Linked DNA regions of Notamacropus eugenii. Each later gene encodes a partner of the first gene's protein in a complex. Links are inferred from orthologs where the notes say so. Each region holds a gene or a part of one and is shown in the gene's direction. Other genes may lie near its edges.

Region 1 (7,552 bases):
TCTCATGGGGTCTATTGGTTCCCTTTCATTGATGCAACTTCCAGTCCAAAGGATCACCTGGGAAAGTAAAGTGGGTGGAGCCTGTTTGTCATCTTTCCCTTCTGAATACGGCATTCTACGACTAATATTTTCCTGCTTTAATTTAAGAAGATTTTTTTCGCAATCAGATAATGAAAAAGAACTCTCACCCTTCCTGGAATTGGAGGCTATGGTTTGTCTAAAGCTCCAGTGTGAGGTGGTTAAGGAATTTTGATTCACGGAGACTCTTGACTCATAGTCTCATGCCCTCTGTACCCGCCCCCATCCCGACTTCACGTGATCTAAAGGACAACAAACCCATGCCAAAGGAGTAGGTTTCAGTGTCCCATTTCCAGCTGCTTCTAATATTAGGATTTCCCGACAGCCTCTGCTCAATATCCTTTTGTGTTCTGTGATGACAGCCATTCCCCTCTCTCCAATTTTTAAGGAGAGCTTATATATTTTTGATGTTTTGTTTTTATAATACATTTCCATATAATTCCCTTCCACATCCAGAAAGTCATCGTTTGTAACAGAATAAGTGAGAACAACGAATGCTTTTCAGCAAAATTAGCCGAACTTTCAACCAAATTGGATATTCTACACAATATCCCGTAGCCATAGTCCCCCACCTTTGCCAGAAAGGAGGGAGAGGTATGTTTTCTTACCTTTATTTTTCCTTTTTTAATAATAGATTTTATTGATATCTTGTTTTTATATCACCTAGATTTTTTTCTAAATCCTGACCCCAATAGGGTCATCCGTCTTAACATGAATTTTTTTTAAACAAGAGAAAAAAAATTAACAAACCAATCGACTAATTGGAAAAAATATGACATTTAAATGCAATACTCCATATGTGCCTATACCTCTGCAAAGGAGTAGGGGAAGGAGGGAAGTTGAGTACAAGACTTTTCTTTATATTTCTGCAAATTTAAGTAACTTTTTCTTTGGAGAGAAGTTTGGTCATCATAATGATATAACATTGAGTTTAGTCCTCCTTTCTCTGGTTGGAGTCATAGTGGATCTACTTATTTCACTTTGCATCAGTTCATGTAAGACTTTCTAGGTGTCTCTTGAGTTCTTACTACTCAACATTTCTTATGTGGTTGTGGATGTATAGCCACTCCCACTTGGTCCAAACCAGCCTGATGCTTGTGCAAGCTTGGCTGTTGTTGCCTGGTGATCTCATGCTTTGAGGGGGGGCTGTGCCCCCCAACCCCATGCAACTGGTCTATCCTCACAAATTCCTCTTCACCTTTGGGCAGAATGAATGTTCCTCAGGATCAAGAAATACTTAGGACACGTTTAGGCCTGTGGTTACCCCTGTAGGCTTGGGTGGAGTGAGAGGGGAGGGTCAGCCTCTTGAAGGGCTGAGGCTGTTAGCCAAGCTCTTTAAGCAGACTCACATGTCAGGGCCCCTTTAGATATCTGGGTGTGCGTTTTGTGATTTCAAAGGCAACGTAGTATAATAGATAAAAAGCTAGCCTTGGAATCAGGAAGATCTGGGTTTAAGTATTGACCCCCATGGGGCAGCTAGCACATAGAGCTCTGGGCCTGGAGTCAGGAAGACAACCTGAGTTCAGACACATCAGCTGTGTGACCCTAGGCATATCACTTCATCTGGTTAGCCTCAGTTTCCTCATCTGTAAAATGAGCTGGAAAAGGAAATGGCAATTCACTCCAGTATCTCTGCCAAGGAAACTCCAAATGGGGTCATGAAAAGTCAGTCACCACTCAACAACCCTGCCTCTAACATATACTGGCAATTTCACTCTGGGCAAGTCACTTAACTCTCAGTTGACCCAGAAAACTTGATAAGACCCTAAAATTGCAAAGTAGTTGTTGAGCTGCCTGGTACAAGAGGAGAGTTTCCCAGTGGGAATTCTTCATAGCAATCAACCAATCAACATGAAGTGCCTTCTAGTGCCAGACACTGTGCCCACTGGGCACACCAATGAAGTAACAGATCAGGTTCAAGGAAATCAAATATAATGTTTAAAAGTTTTCAAAATGTTTTCTCCACTACAACCCCACAAAGTGTTCAGTTCCTGCTTTGTACATGAGGAAATTGAGGGTCAGGTAGACTAAATGAAACAAAAAATCTGAGTACAATAAATATATAGCCCCTATCTGTGAAAGACTATGGTAGGTGCTGGGGAAATACCAAGTTATCTAAGACATGGTTTTTACTCTCAAGGAGTCAAAAGAAGGAAGCAGAGAGATGACTATAGACCACTATTACATGAGAAGCTTATTAGAGATTTTCAAAATAAAGAGCAATAATGAGGGAAGGTATGGTTGCATAGGAGGGGGAATCAGGGAAGGGCTTTCTGGAGGTGGCTTTGAGTTTGGCTTTAAAAGATGGTAGAAAATGACCAGGAGAGGAGCCCCAACTATGACTTTAATCCTAAAATAAAAATCCCTGTGAGAAACTGTCTACCCCAGCATCTCTCTTCCATTTCCCTGAAGTCCTCCTGGTGCCTAAATCATGAAAGTTTCCAGGACCGCTCTTTCAGAAACTAATGGGGAATGAGGCATGAGCTGTTTGCAGACAGGTGGTATGGGTAGCAGGCTGGATTTAAGTCAGATCTAGGTTAGAATTTTGCCAGAGTCAAATGCTATATGACCTTCACTTCCCTGATCCTGCTTACTCATCTGTAAAATAATACTTGGACTACTCACCTACCTCTAAGAATTGTTGTGAGGATGGCACTCAATAACTATTATTATTTCGTTCTAGGTGAGTGGTTTTCTCAGGTAGGGAGTTAGTGAGGGCTAGTGTTAGGAATCCGGGTGCTACCAGACAGGGGTAAAGGTAGCAGGGTGTCCCTTGAAACAGTATTAGGCAATCCATTCCTCGGTAGATCAGTGTCAAAGGAAATTTTCAAAGGAGAGATCCAAGTTATCAACAAGCATATGAAAACATGCTATAAATCACCAATTAAAGTTACAGAAATTAAAGAAGGGGGAGTGTGGGGAGTGGGGCTTGGGTTGGAGTCTACAAGGGCTGAGGAGGGGCTTCCAGGGTACCCGGGGGACGAATTGCTGGGCTTGGAGAGTACCCAAAGTGAAATGGGGGAGGGGGTCAGGAGGGACTGTGTAAGAATCTTACAGCAACAAGACTGAGGGGGGGAACCCGAGACAGCAGCTTAGGGGACTGTACAAGCTACAGAGAGGGGGTGAGAGGAGAGGGAGGGGACCCAATTCAGGGGAAGACCATGGGGCCTGGGAGAGGGGCCGAGGGCTCAGAGAATCCCGGGCGGATGCTAAGAGAGCCAGGAAGGTAGGAGTTTCCCTCGGAGGACGAGCAAGTCAATGACTGGGAGGTCAGAGGGTCCGGAGAGAAAATGCAGGGGCTGGGGTGGGTGCGGAGCAGGGCTAGGAGGCCAGGAGAAACCGTGGGAAGAACATGGGGGTCCTAGGATTTGAGCTGAGGAGCAGGTCACCCGGGGGAAACGACTACAGGGACCTGGAAGGTCAGTGTCCCGGGAGCAGTACCAAAGGGGCAGCTGGGCACAGAGTTCGTAGTGTCCTGAGGATCCGCGAGGAGGGGGTGGAGGGGCGGGTGCTAGGAGAGCTAGGAAGGTCACAGCGTCCCGGGAGCCGCTGGGGATCGAGGGCTTGAGGGGTCTTGGGAGCGTAGTTGGGAGTCCCTAGGCAGCCTAGGGGAGTGGGAGCCCCGGGGTCTAGGGTTCGGGTGCAAGGGGTGGGGGGAAAGCGTCCTAGATTTAGGGCCAAGAGGGTCCCAGGGTCTCAGGAGGGGATTTGGGGTCCCGTACAGACTAGGGCCTGGAAGCCCCAGGTTCCCGGGCGCAGGTCCAAGGCCCTGAGTGTCAGGAGCGTCCCAGGGTCCGGAGCGCAGGTTCAAGGGGGCCCGAGCAGCCGAGGTTGAGGGTCCCAGGAGAAGACTAAGGGGCCCCAAGTATTAGAAAGGTCCCAGGAGGGGAGCTGGGGTCCCGGACATCCTAGGAGAGTGGGAGCCCCCGGGTCCTGGGCGCAGATCTAGGGGCCCCGAGTGTCAGGAGGGTCCCTGGCGCGTATCTAGGGGGCCCGAGTGTCCGAGGCTGAGGGTCCCAGAAGAGGTGCTGGGGTCCTGGACACCTTAGGAGAGTGGGAGCCCCCGGGTCCCAGGCGCAGATCTAGGGGGCCCGAGAGTCGGAGGCTGAAGGTCCCAGGAAAGGAGCTAGGATCACGGACACCTTAGGAGAGTGGGAACCCCCGGGTCCCGGGCGCAGGTCCAAAGGGGCCCCAGTGTCAGGAGGGTCGCCAGGTCCCAGGCGCCCTGGGCCGCGGGTCGGGTCAGGATCCCGGGTCGCGGGTCCGGTCACGGGCAGGCTGGGCGGAGCCGAGCCGCCCCTCTCCTGACATCAGTTCCTGCTGCCCGGCGCGGCTCCTCCCCCGCCGCCGCCGCGGCCACCGCGCCTGCCCTCTCTCCCGGCCCGGCCCGGTCCCACGAGCCGCCTGCGCGGAGCCCCGGGCCCGGGGCGCGGGCGGCGCACGAAGCAGCGCAGGGCGGCGCGGGGCGGCCGCGCGGAGCCGCCACCACGGAGCCCCCGGGCGGCGGCTGGAGGCAGCGGGAGCCGGAGCCGGAGCCGGAGCAGCACCCGGAGCGGTTGGCGGCGGTGGCGGCCCGGCGCGGGAGGAGACGGCGAGGCGGCGGCGGCCCCGGCCCGGGCACTGGCAGCGCCTCCAGCACCATGGAGCCTGGCGAGGTGAAGGACCGCATCCTGGAGAACATCTCTCTGTCAGTGAAGAAGGTAAGGGCGCCTCCCACCCAGCCTTCGAGGCCCCTGCGGGCGGACCCCTCTAAAGCCAGCGTGCGACCCCCTAATCCCAACCCATTCCCCTCTTCCTCGAGCCTTGTGAGCCCGGGTCCTGCCAGGCCTCCCTCCATCCTCCAAGAAGTTCGAGGGGAGCCTAGCCCCACCTCCACCCCCAAACGCTTCTCCTTCCCAATGACATCACCCTGTCCCCTTCAGCCAGCTGGGGCGGGGGGCGGGAGAGGCTGGCTCCGCCCCTGTCCCCCCTTCCCAGCCCCCCACCCCCACCCGGCCTGTGGCCTGGAGGGGAGTAGACTCTCCTGAGCTCCCGAGGTCCTATTGGCCCTTTTGAAAGAGCAAAGCTGAGATCAGCCTCTTCAGAGTGTCGAAATGACAGCCTCAGGGGATGGACGGGTCACCCCCCACCCTCGCCCACCCCCAGGTCTCCTGATCCCTGGCAGCCAGTGGCACCCCTCAACTGGCTCGCTTGGCTTAGTGGGGGTGACTGACAAGATCCTCCTCTGTCTCCTGTCAAGCCCTTCCCAAGCCCAGTCTCATCCCCTGTGTGTGCCCAGTCTTGGGTGACTGCGTCTGGAAGGATTCTTGGTTCCAGTGCCAAGTCAGAGAACCGCCCCCCCCCCCCCCCGCCCCCCTTCTCATCCCACTGCTGGGCTCTGATGGGACTTCCCTAAATTCACCTTGCTGAATTGGCTCAGGGAGGTTCCCCTCTCGGGTGTATTTTAGGACATTTTTTGGAGGAGCACAAGGAGTGACCTGCGGTTGTGATTCATTAGAAAGTACCCTTTTCTGTCCTTTTTTCCTTCTATTTCCAGGTAGAACATTTATGGTCATGGATGATTTGGGGGGATGGAGTAGGTTACGCTGAAATGGGTCTGGGAGGACCAGCCGGTTTTAGTTTGGTAGTGAATGCTCCAGGGTGGTCTTCTTCCAAGGTCTTTCTACATCGACCTCCAGATTTGGTGACAGTTCCAAGAAGTAAGGAAATGAAACTGAAAAAAGGGTTAGTGGAGAAGAAAGAGAACATACACTGACCCTTATTTTCCCAGCCCCAAGTGACCGAAGTGCAGAAACATCTGGCATCTTTGGGCCAGGGAAAATGCCCTGGAGGTAGAGTGGCCGGACCATGGGCACTCATTCTGCCCCTATCACCTCTGTTTCCTCATTTATAAAATGAGGTTGGTTAGACAGAATGGCTCCTGCTAGGTTTGAATCTCTGAGTCTAGGAGGAGGAGTGAACAGCTCTTCCTTCTCTTAGACAGGGTGTGTTCTTCTCTCCACCCTTAAATTGCTTGAAAATTTAACTGGCAAAGATAATTGGGATTTCTTTTCTTAAAAAGCTGATTTCAGAATGAGCCATCAGTACTAATGGTGTTGTCATGTGTCACTTGTAAAAGTATGAGATCTGTTTCTTCATTTGTGAGATGAAGGATGGTTGTGAGGGTATCCAGTGAGATAATCTATGGAAAATGCTTTGCAAAACTTAAAATGCCATAAAAATGCTGGTTGTTTTCATTATTATTTAATCATAATTGCATTATTTATTCATATAAATAATAATATTGATTATTATTGCAGCAGCTAGATGGCACAGTGGATAGAACACTGGGCCTCGAGTCAGGAAGACCTGAGTTCAAATCCTGCCTAAGACATTTACCAGTTGTCTGCCTCAGTTTCCTCAACTGTGAGATGGAGATAATTTTAGCATCCATGTCCCGGGGTTATCGTGAGGATCAAATCAGATAGTATTTGTAAAAGCATTTAGCACAGCGTCTGGCACATAAATAAATGCTTATTTATTTCCCTTCTATGAAGAAGATGATGATGCTTGGCATATAGTAGGCACTATATAAATGTTTATTTCTTTCCCTTATATTATTAGTATTATGCCTGGCACGTAGTAGGTGCTATTAAAATGCTTATTCCCCTTTTATTATCCTTATGAATATTGTGCCTGGTATGAAATAGGTGCTATATATAATGAAAATGGCCCTCTTTAACGTTGTTATAATTATGATCATAATTATCTCACTGGTGAGGTTGGCCTCGTCCTGCTTGTCCTCAGAGGGCAGAACCTGGAGTAGTGGGCTGCCCCCAGGAGGTGAGGTGGGTTCCTTCTCTTTGGCAGTCTTCTAGGAGGGATTGGATGCCCTGTTGTCCAGGAGACTGAGGCAGCCTGTTGTAGCAGAAAGTCCTGGATTTCAAATCAAGAAGACTCTGCTCTCAGGACTCTTGCTGACCCTGTGACCCAGGTGGCAAAGACTCAGTTTCTTTATCTGTAAAATAGGGAACATCACAGCATGGGCCTCACAAGTTTTTCCTACTGGGTGAGGCCCCTCCTGGTGAGCTTAGGGGAGATGTGGGCAAGTGTCCAGTCAGGACGGGCCAGTCTGGATGGAGTGGGGTTTGTACTGTTGGATGGAGGGGTCCAGTTCTACTGACCTGCCCGATCTATTTGAGGGTTCTTATGATGATTGTTTTCTGTAGGTCCAGCTTGAACAAGGTGACCCCTGCATCCTTTCCAACCTGGATATTCCATGTTGTTTTTGGGTTTTTTTGTTTTGTATTACCCGTTTTGTATTTCTAAATGTAATGCCTGGTTTTTATAATGGTACGTGATTTTTGCTTGCCCAGGAAAGGCCGAAGGAACAAAGCACTCTGTTAAAAAGCAATAAATCTTTTGAATAGAAGAGAAGGGTGGACTGCTGACTTTTCTGATCTTATCTGTGCCAGTAGTGGCATCATTCCGGGAG
Region 2 (6,853 bases), on another chromosome or scaffold:
TAATTAGTCATCTCCTTTAAGAAAAAAAAGAACCAGGATTCTAGCATTAATTAAGAATTCATTTCCCTTAGTAGAATATAAATTCCTAGAGGGAAGCACCTGCTTATATCTGTGTAGTTAGTATAGGGGTGTTGAATTGAATGAATGATAGGATAGATTTAGAAAAGGTACTTCATAAATTGTTTAGTTCCAATCCCTTTGTCTTACACATGTGGAAACTTGGGCCTAGATAGGTTGGGTGACTTTCCTAATGTCTCACAGAAATCAAGCCAGGAGTTAAAAACAAAATTTTCTTTGGGGGGGAAGGCAAGTGGAGTTAAATGATTTGCTCAGGGTCACACAGCCAGCAAGTATCTGAGGTTGGATTTGAACTCAGGTCCTCCTGACTTCAGAGTTGGTACTGTATCCACTTCACCACCTAACTGCTCTGGGAGTCCCATGACTCTGAAACTAGAACTCTTCCCATGTACTACCTTTGGAGTACATGCAATAATACCAACAATTACAACAATTATAAAGCCCTTTAAAGTTTGCATGGTCTTTCCATACACTGTTTCATTCTGTCTTGTTCCTTTCTTTTAGGAACAAGGGCAAAGCCTTGGTACTTTGTGCCTTGTACTTTTCCTGAAGGAAAGACAAACTATATGTAAAACTGATTCTCATTTTCCTTAAAACAAATTCTATAGAGTGGTACCTCAAAATTTACTAAGATATTTCAGAAGGGAGTGAGTTCCTGGAATTACCCCAAAGTCTCAGGAGTTCTCCCCTGCAATCTTAATATGATTAATTTCTAAACTCCTGAATCTATCAAGATCTTTTTTTTTTTAGCAGTTCCACAACTTTGTCTGACTTTATTTCTGTGATTCCAACTTGACCAATGTTGAAATAACAGAAAAAAAAGTGACAGTTTTTTTTTTCTCTTTCTCTTTTGTTATAACCTAATCTCCCTCAGAAAGCTTAAAGTGGGAGGCTAGTCCTGCTTACTGGAATTTTTACTTCAAATATGAAAATTCATTCATTTCTCCCAATGTTCTAAACTCCCTGGCTACAGCCCTTATTAGTTTTTCTGGCTGGCTGCATTTTAAATCTTTCAAGGTAACAGAATCTAGCTCCCAACACAAACATTTTACAAACACAGAGACACAGGCACAGACAAAATGACAAGACAGATACAAACAGAACTGGTTCAGTAGAGGCATACAAGTTCCCCCCCTCCCCCACTGCATGCAGTTAGACACAAAGTTGCAATTTTATAGACACACAGAGAGGCCCTAATTTTACAAAGGCATGCAGAGAGGCCAGAGAGACCTGAAACAAATGGGGACACAGGAGGGGCCTTGAAGTTTTTCTCACAAAGAAAGGTGAATTCAATCAAAACTTGAGCCCAGAGGATTGGAGCAGGAACAAAGGTGGCAGATGAGGTGGGGGCGGGGGGAGGAAGTCAAACTCTGGAGAAATCTCTGGAGGCACCTAGTCAACTCCCGTTGGTACCAGAAAGTCCTCTTGGCCTGATTCCATCCAGTCCCACTTCTGACACAAATTAATCTCAACCAAACTGGAGCCTATCTCTAAACGGTGAGTGGTTGGGGCTGAGCAAAGCAGGATAAGGACAGGAGAGTCAGGGATCAAATGGAAGTTTAATTAATTTCAGAGTGAGGAAAATGCTTGCAAGCATAAGTCCACCTTCCTAAGAAGGAAAGCTTAACTTGCTGGGGCAGGGGTAGGGCTTATATACATGAAAACCACAAAGGGTCTGGACTACAACACAATCATTCTTAGGTCTTGAGTAAAATTCTCCCAACAGGCTTTTGGAAAGAGTTCCCAAGTTGATTGCCTCAAGGCTTGATGAGCCTTGAGGTCATTCAGTGGGGTACAAAACCAGAGTTAGCATGGCAGAAATAGGAATGCAGTATCTGCTTCAGTTCACTTGGCAGTTACAAGAAATAAGGATTGTGAGCATGTTAGCAGATGTGATGGAAGGCTTCAGATTGCAGCATGTCACTGGCTTCTGGCTCTCAGGTCCCTAGGAAATAGGGGGAAGCTCCAACAAATCTAAACAGTTACTGATTTACATGAAAATCATAAATCCCTCAGTGAACACCTGGTGTTGGTCAAAGTTGACAGAGGGTGAGATCATCCCTAGTATAAAAGATTGTTGTTATGCCAAGCTCAGGGCACAGCCTGCTCACTGGGCCTTGGCCTTGGGAAGCAGGGTGTCTCCACATATCTTGACAAGATCAATCACATGTTGTTGCCATAGCTCTTTAAAGTTTTCAAAGCATTTTCAAGATAACAACCCTATGAAGCTGAGAGTGCTATTTTGGAGGGGTTGGAATTGTTTTTTTGGTTTTTTTTTGAGTGGGTGGGGAGGAGAAAGGCTGAAGTGTGGAGTCCAGACCTGTGATTTTATCAGTTTCATACTCCTGGTGTGGAAACTCCTTCCCTTGGTACAAATCTGCAATTTTTTTGTAATCAAGCATCTTAGAGAGTTGTCTAGGAAATGGTTACATGTAGTCAGGATTTTTCAAAAGGCAGGACAGGACCTCAGGTCCTTACATGAAGACTTGTCCTCTACTCACTATGCTTTGCTAATTCTCAGTACAAACACAATCATTCCCCATTTTTACAAGGAAACTGAAGTTTTGTGAATTTATATGATTCTCCCATAATTACCTTGCTGGTAGGTAGGAGGGAGAGGTATATAGCCCTATCATTTAAAACCAGGGTAACATCCAGTCCGGTACATTTTAGTGGCAGCTAGGAGGTATAGTGGATAGAGCTTGGGCTCAAGAAGACTCGATTTAAATCCTGACTTAGACACTTATTAGCTGTGTGAGCGACTTTGGGCAAATCACTTAATCTCTTTCAACCTCAGTTTCCTCATCTGCAAGATGTGGATCATAATGGCACATAATGGATGGCTGTGAGAACTAAATGAAATAGTACATAACATAATTATGCAAATAATATATAATTTATAAATAATATATTATTATTTTATTTAATATTAATATACTATATATTACATATAATATATACAAATATAATACATAACTTCATAAATAACAAACGATACAACTTTGCAAACAAATAGTATATCAAATAACTTTGCAAATGATTAATAATACAATTTACAACTGCAAATAACAAATAGCATAACTTCGGGAACCTTAATGAACTCTATAAATACTAGCCTTTTTTTTTAATACTAAGAAAGTGCTGTGGGGAAAAGCACCGTATTGTTGTTTTTTCATTTCTTTGATGGTCTTTTTAAAATTCCATTTCTCCATAATATCTTTTATGAACAAGGAATTACTTGGGGGCACTTTATTTTTTTTCAGTTAAATACATATTTTTTTCTTTCCTTTGTCTTCCCTTCTCCACGCCCCCCCCCCCCCCATTCCCCAGCTCGTCCAGGAAAAAAATCGAAAAAGAAAACATTGTAACAAATATTCCTAGTCACCCTGGCCACACCCACCGGTGCCGCTAGGCAGGAATGCAATTTGCAACAATGTCTCCAAAGTTACTTAAGCGGCCGGCCTGGGACGCTGGCCGCAGGAACAGTCCTGGGCGGTTTTGCTGTCTGGACCTCCGCTGCCTTCTCCTCCTCCATCAGCTTAAGTCAACTGCAAGTCACGTCATCATCTGGATGTCACGGTCCTCTTCGAGAGCGAAGGACAAACACAAAAACACAACAAAAGGGAGCGGGGCAGGAACCAAGCGAGCGACCGCTCTCCCTGGGAGAGTTAGGATGGGATGATTGACAGGAGCTCGCGCTAGGACTCTCTCCGTGGGGCGGGACGGACCCGCAGAACGGCTTTCGGGCCTCCCGGGACGGGGCTGTCCGGCAGGGGGCGCTGTGGGCTCCGAGGCAGGCGCTCGGGCGCAGGCGTGCCGCTCTCTCCGTGCGTGCAGGCCGGCGGGGCGTGGAGGGGAGGCCGAGTCATATGACCGCTCTCTCGGCTTCCTGGCTCCGGCCGCCGCCGCCGCCGCCTCTGCGCGTCTCGCTGTGTGTGTCCCCGTCGGCGTCGCTCCCCGGGGCCGGCCGAGCCGTTGGCGTGGGGGGTCCGTGTCGCTCGCGTGGAAGCTGCCCGCCCCCGCCATCATGCTGGCGCTCATCTCCCGGCTCCTGGACTGGTTCCGCTCGCTCTTCTGGAAGGAGGAGATGGAGCTGACGTTGGTGGGGCTGCAGTACTCGGGCAAGACCACCTTCGTCAATGTCATCGCGGTGAGCGCCCCCCCCCCGGGGGAGGGGGAGGGGCGGACACACGCCAGGCCCCGGCGCCCAGTACTCAGTAGGCGCCTGCTGAATGCGGGTGGGGGCCCCAGCACTCCTGCACGGCCCGGCCCCCGCAGCCCTTTAATCCTCGCCCTCTGCTACTTGATGCCCGGGGTTGCCGTCCTCTCTGGGCCTGTGGGAGTGGGGGAGGGATGCTAGCTCTACTTGGATTAAGCGCCTACTGTGTGCCGTCCAGCTCCCGTGCAAAAGACGCTGCCCGCCGTCTAATGGGGAGGGGGCCGGGGCCGGTGCGAGCATCCTTGCACTAGCAGAACGCGGTGTATAGACGAGATCGAGACTGTAAATTGGAGTAATTAGCAGAGGGAGGGCACTAGCTTAAAGGGGGGGGGGGGAGTCGAGACATGCTCCTCGTAATAAAGGGGGGGTTTTAGCAGAACTTGAAGGGAGCCCGGAGTCCGAGATGAGGAGGGAGAGGATGGCAGTAAGAACGCTGGGTCAGTAAAGGCAGAGGTTTAAAGGTCTCCGCTTTCGTGGAAATTGGAAGATAAAAAAGTCTGCTGTAGGAAAAAAGATTGCTGAAGGAAGAGGGTGTGGGACCTGGGGGAGGAGGGAGCGTAGGTGGAGCCTGCTCATCCCTGGGTGGCCTCCCACTGCTCGGGTGGGTACCTCCAGGAGCAGCCTCTGGGAGGTAGTTACCTCTGAGCCGTCGTGTGTAGGAACGGAAGAATGCTGATTGTGAAGTTGATGATTTGGGGGTGGGGGGAAGGCAGAGGAATGAATGTTGGGCCCAGAAGTTGGGGTCATTGGATCCTAAGGGCCAGGTGCTTGAGCTTTGGGAGATTCTTGAAGGAAACAGTAGTAGACCTGGCACTTCTCAGCCGGCTTTAGAAATCGCCATTTGACAGGACGCAAGCTGCCCAACTGGTTTGGCAACAACAATGATTCAGTAGTTCCTCTCCTAGGTTGAAGAAGCTAGGTAACCTGTGACTCTTAATCATTCCTGTTGCCGGATTACTGCAAAGACTAACCCTTGGGGAATTCAGCAGCTAGCTGAAATTAAAGCATAGCCTTTCAGTATATGAAGGCAGTTCTTAGAACCCAAGAATTCGAGTTCCTTTGAGGGAATTACTATTGCCAGCAGGAGTAATGGTCACATTTTTTTAAAAGCTCATTTTATAGTGATAACAGTTACTTTTAAAATTTGAAATAATCATCGCTGTTTATTGTACACGTATATCTGTGTCTATATTGTACATACATATCTGTGTATTAATGCCATTCTATATCTATATATCTATATCTTGATGCCATTCAAATGAGTAAAGAGGAATAAACATTTAGGTTATTTAGAAGACTAATAGTTGCACAAAATTTAAGTGTGATGTAAAAAAAAAGATGAAGCTTTAGGCCAGCTGAAAATAGATTAATCCTTTTTTGGCTCTTTTGATCATCCTAACTTTGTTTCGATTGTAACAGATGAAAATTGGAGTTTACTTTGTAACCCTTTGCAGAAAGGCCTATTACTCATGTGGTACTTTTTTTGCCAAAGAAACAACAGCTAACTTTTGAAAGTCTTAAGAAAGCTTCTTATATCTCTGAAGATTTTTTTTTCTTTATGAATGCTGGTGATATTCTGTATAGGCATTTCATACAAAAGCAAGGCAATTTTAGAAAAAATATCCAGGGAATCGCTCCTTTTTCAGTTCTCAGTTGACTTTTTTTTTTTTTAGCCGATTGGTTGACCCTTAATGGTATCCTGTACTTTGATAGAAGAGCATTTTATAATATTTCAAAATCTCTTGAATGAGGTTGGAATTCTCCAAATAAAATTAATCAGTCGAATGCTTTCAGTGTTATACTATATAGTCTTTGGATACTATTGATATACAGTGTTCTGAGATAAAATGTGGCCTGTAACTTTAGCTCATACTAAAATTTTTTCTTTAAACAAGGAGACCTTATTAAACTTCATGTAAAGCATGAAACTTAATATCAAAAATTAATTTTAGAACTTTTATTTCAAAGGACAATTTCATATTAAAACAATTTATTTACTCTTTCAGACATATAAAAATAACTTTAGGAATCTATGTATGTTCTGTGATTTTTAATAAGTTGAATTTTTAGACTTTAGACTTAAATACAGATGTTTAGACCATAGTATGTCTTTAGTGAAAATTGAATGTTTAGTCTAATCCATCAATCCTGTATTAATTACTTGCTACTCACAAGACTTAAATGCTTTAGTTGAAGCTAATTATCATTTTGGAGTCATTAAACTTCCAGATCAACTTTTAGTTCAATAAAAATAATGTTGCTTTAATTGGTAATCCTTTAAATAAAATTATTTTTTTTTTTTGATAAAGGTGAAATGTTTATAAGCCTTATTATTGATTGTAAAGGCAGGGCATTAATATAGTTAGAGCAGAGTTTCTTAACTTTTTTTGTGTGTCATGGACCCCTTGGGTAGTTTGATGGAGCCTAGGGGATCCCTCCTCAGAGTTAGGTTTTTAAATGTGTAAAATAAAACACATAGGATTGCAAAGGGAAACAATTTGCATTGAAATACGTTTACTTAAAAAAAAACAAAAATAAGAAGTTAGACCTTAGGGT

The links. Proteins that work in one complex are often made in the same cells at the same time.
Region 2: the proteins of PLEKHM2 (region 1) and ARL8B are in contact, whole or in part, in a crystal structure (PDB 8JCA), measured with the Homo sapiens proteins. The link is inferred for Notamacropus eugenii from reciprocal best matches to the Homo sapiens genes PLEKHM2 and ARL8B. Residues at the interface, in NP_055979.2 of Homo sapiens: His70, Phe71, Thr72, Arg73, Arg74, Glu75, Glu103, Ser105, Glu107, Ser108, Tyr109, Arg111, Leu112, Glu115, Glu147, Phe148; in NP_060654.1 of Homo sapiens: Glu22, Thr52, Val53, Gly54, Phe55, Asn56, Met57, Lys68, Trp70, Arg77, Phe78, Arg84, Tyr85, Arg87, Gly88, Val89.

The regions. Positions count from the first base shown.
Region 1 is NC_092876.1:55,088,924-55,096,475, forward strand, and holds the start of PLEKHM2 (pleckstrin homology domain-containing family M member 2), read left to right. Parts: upstream 1-4,547; 5' UTR 4,548-4,718; coding exon 4,719-4,778; intron 4,779-7,552. UniProt on the Homo sapiens protein: Plays a role in lysosomes movement and localization at the cell periphery acting as an effector of ARL8B.
Region 2 is NC_092874.1:440,877,767-440,884,619, reverse strand, and holds the start of ARL8B (ADP-ribosylation factor-like protein 8B), read left to right. Parts: upstream 1-3,851; 5' UTR 3,852-4,105; coding exon 4,106-4,228; intron 4,229-6,853. UniProt on the Homo sapiens protein: Small GTPase which cycles between active GTP-bound and inactive GDP-bound states.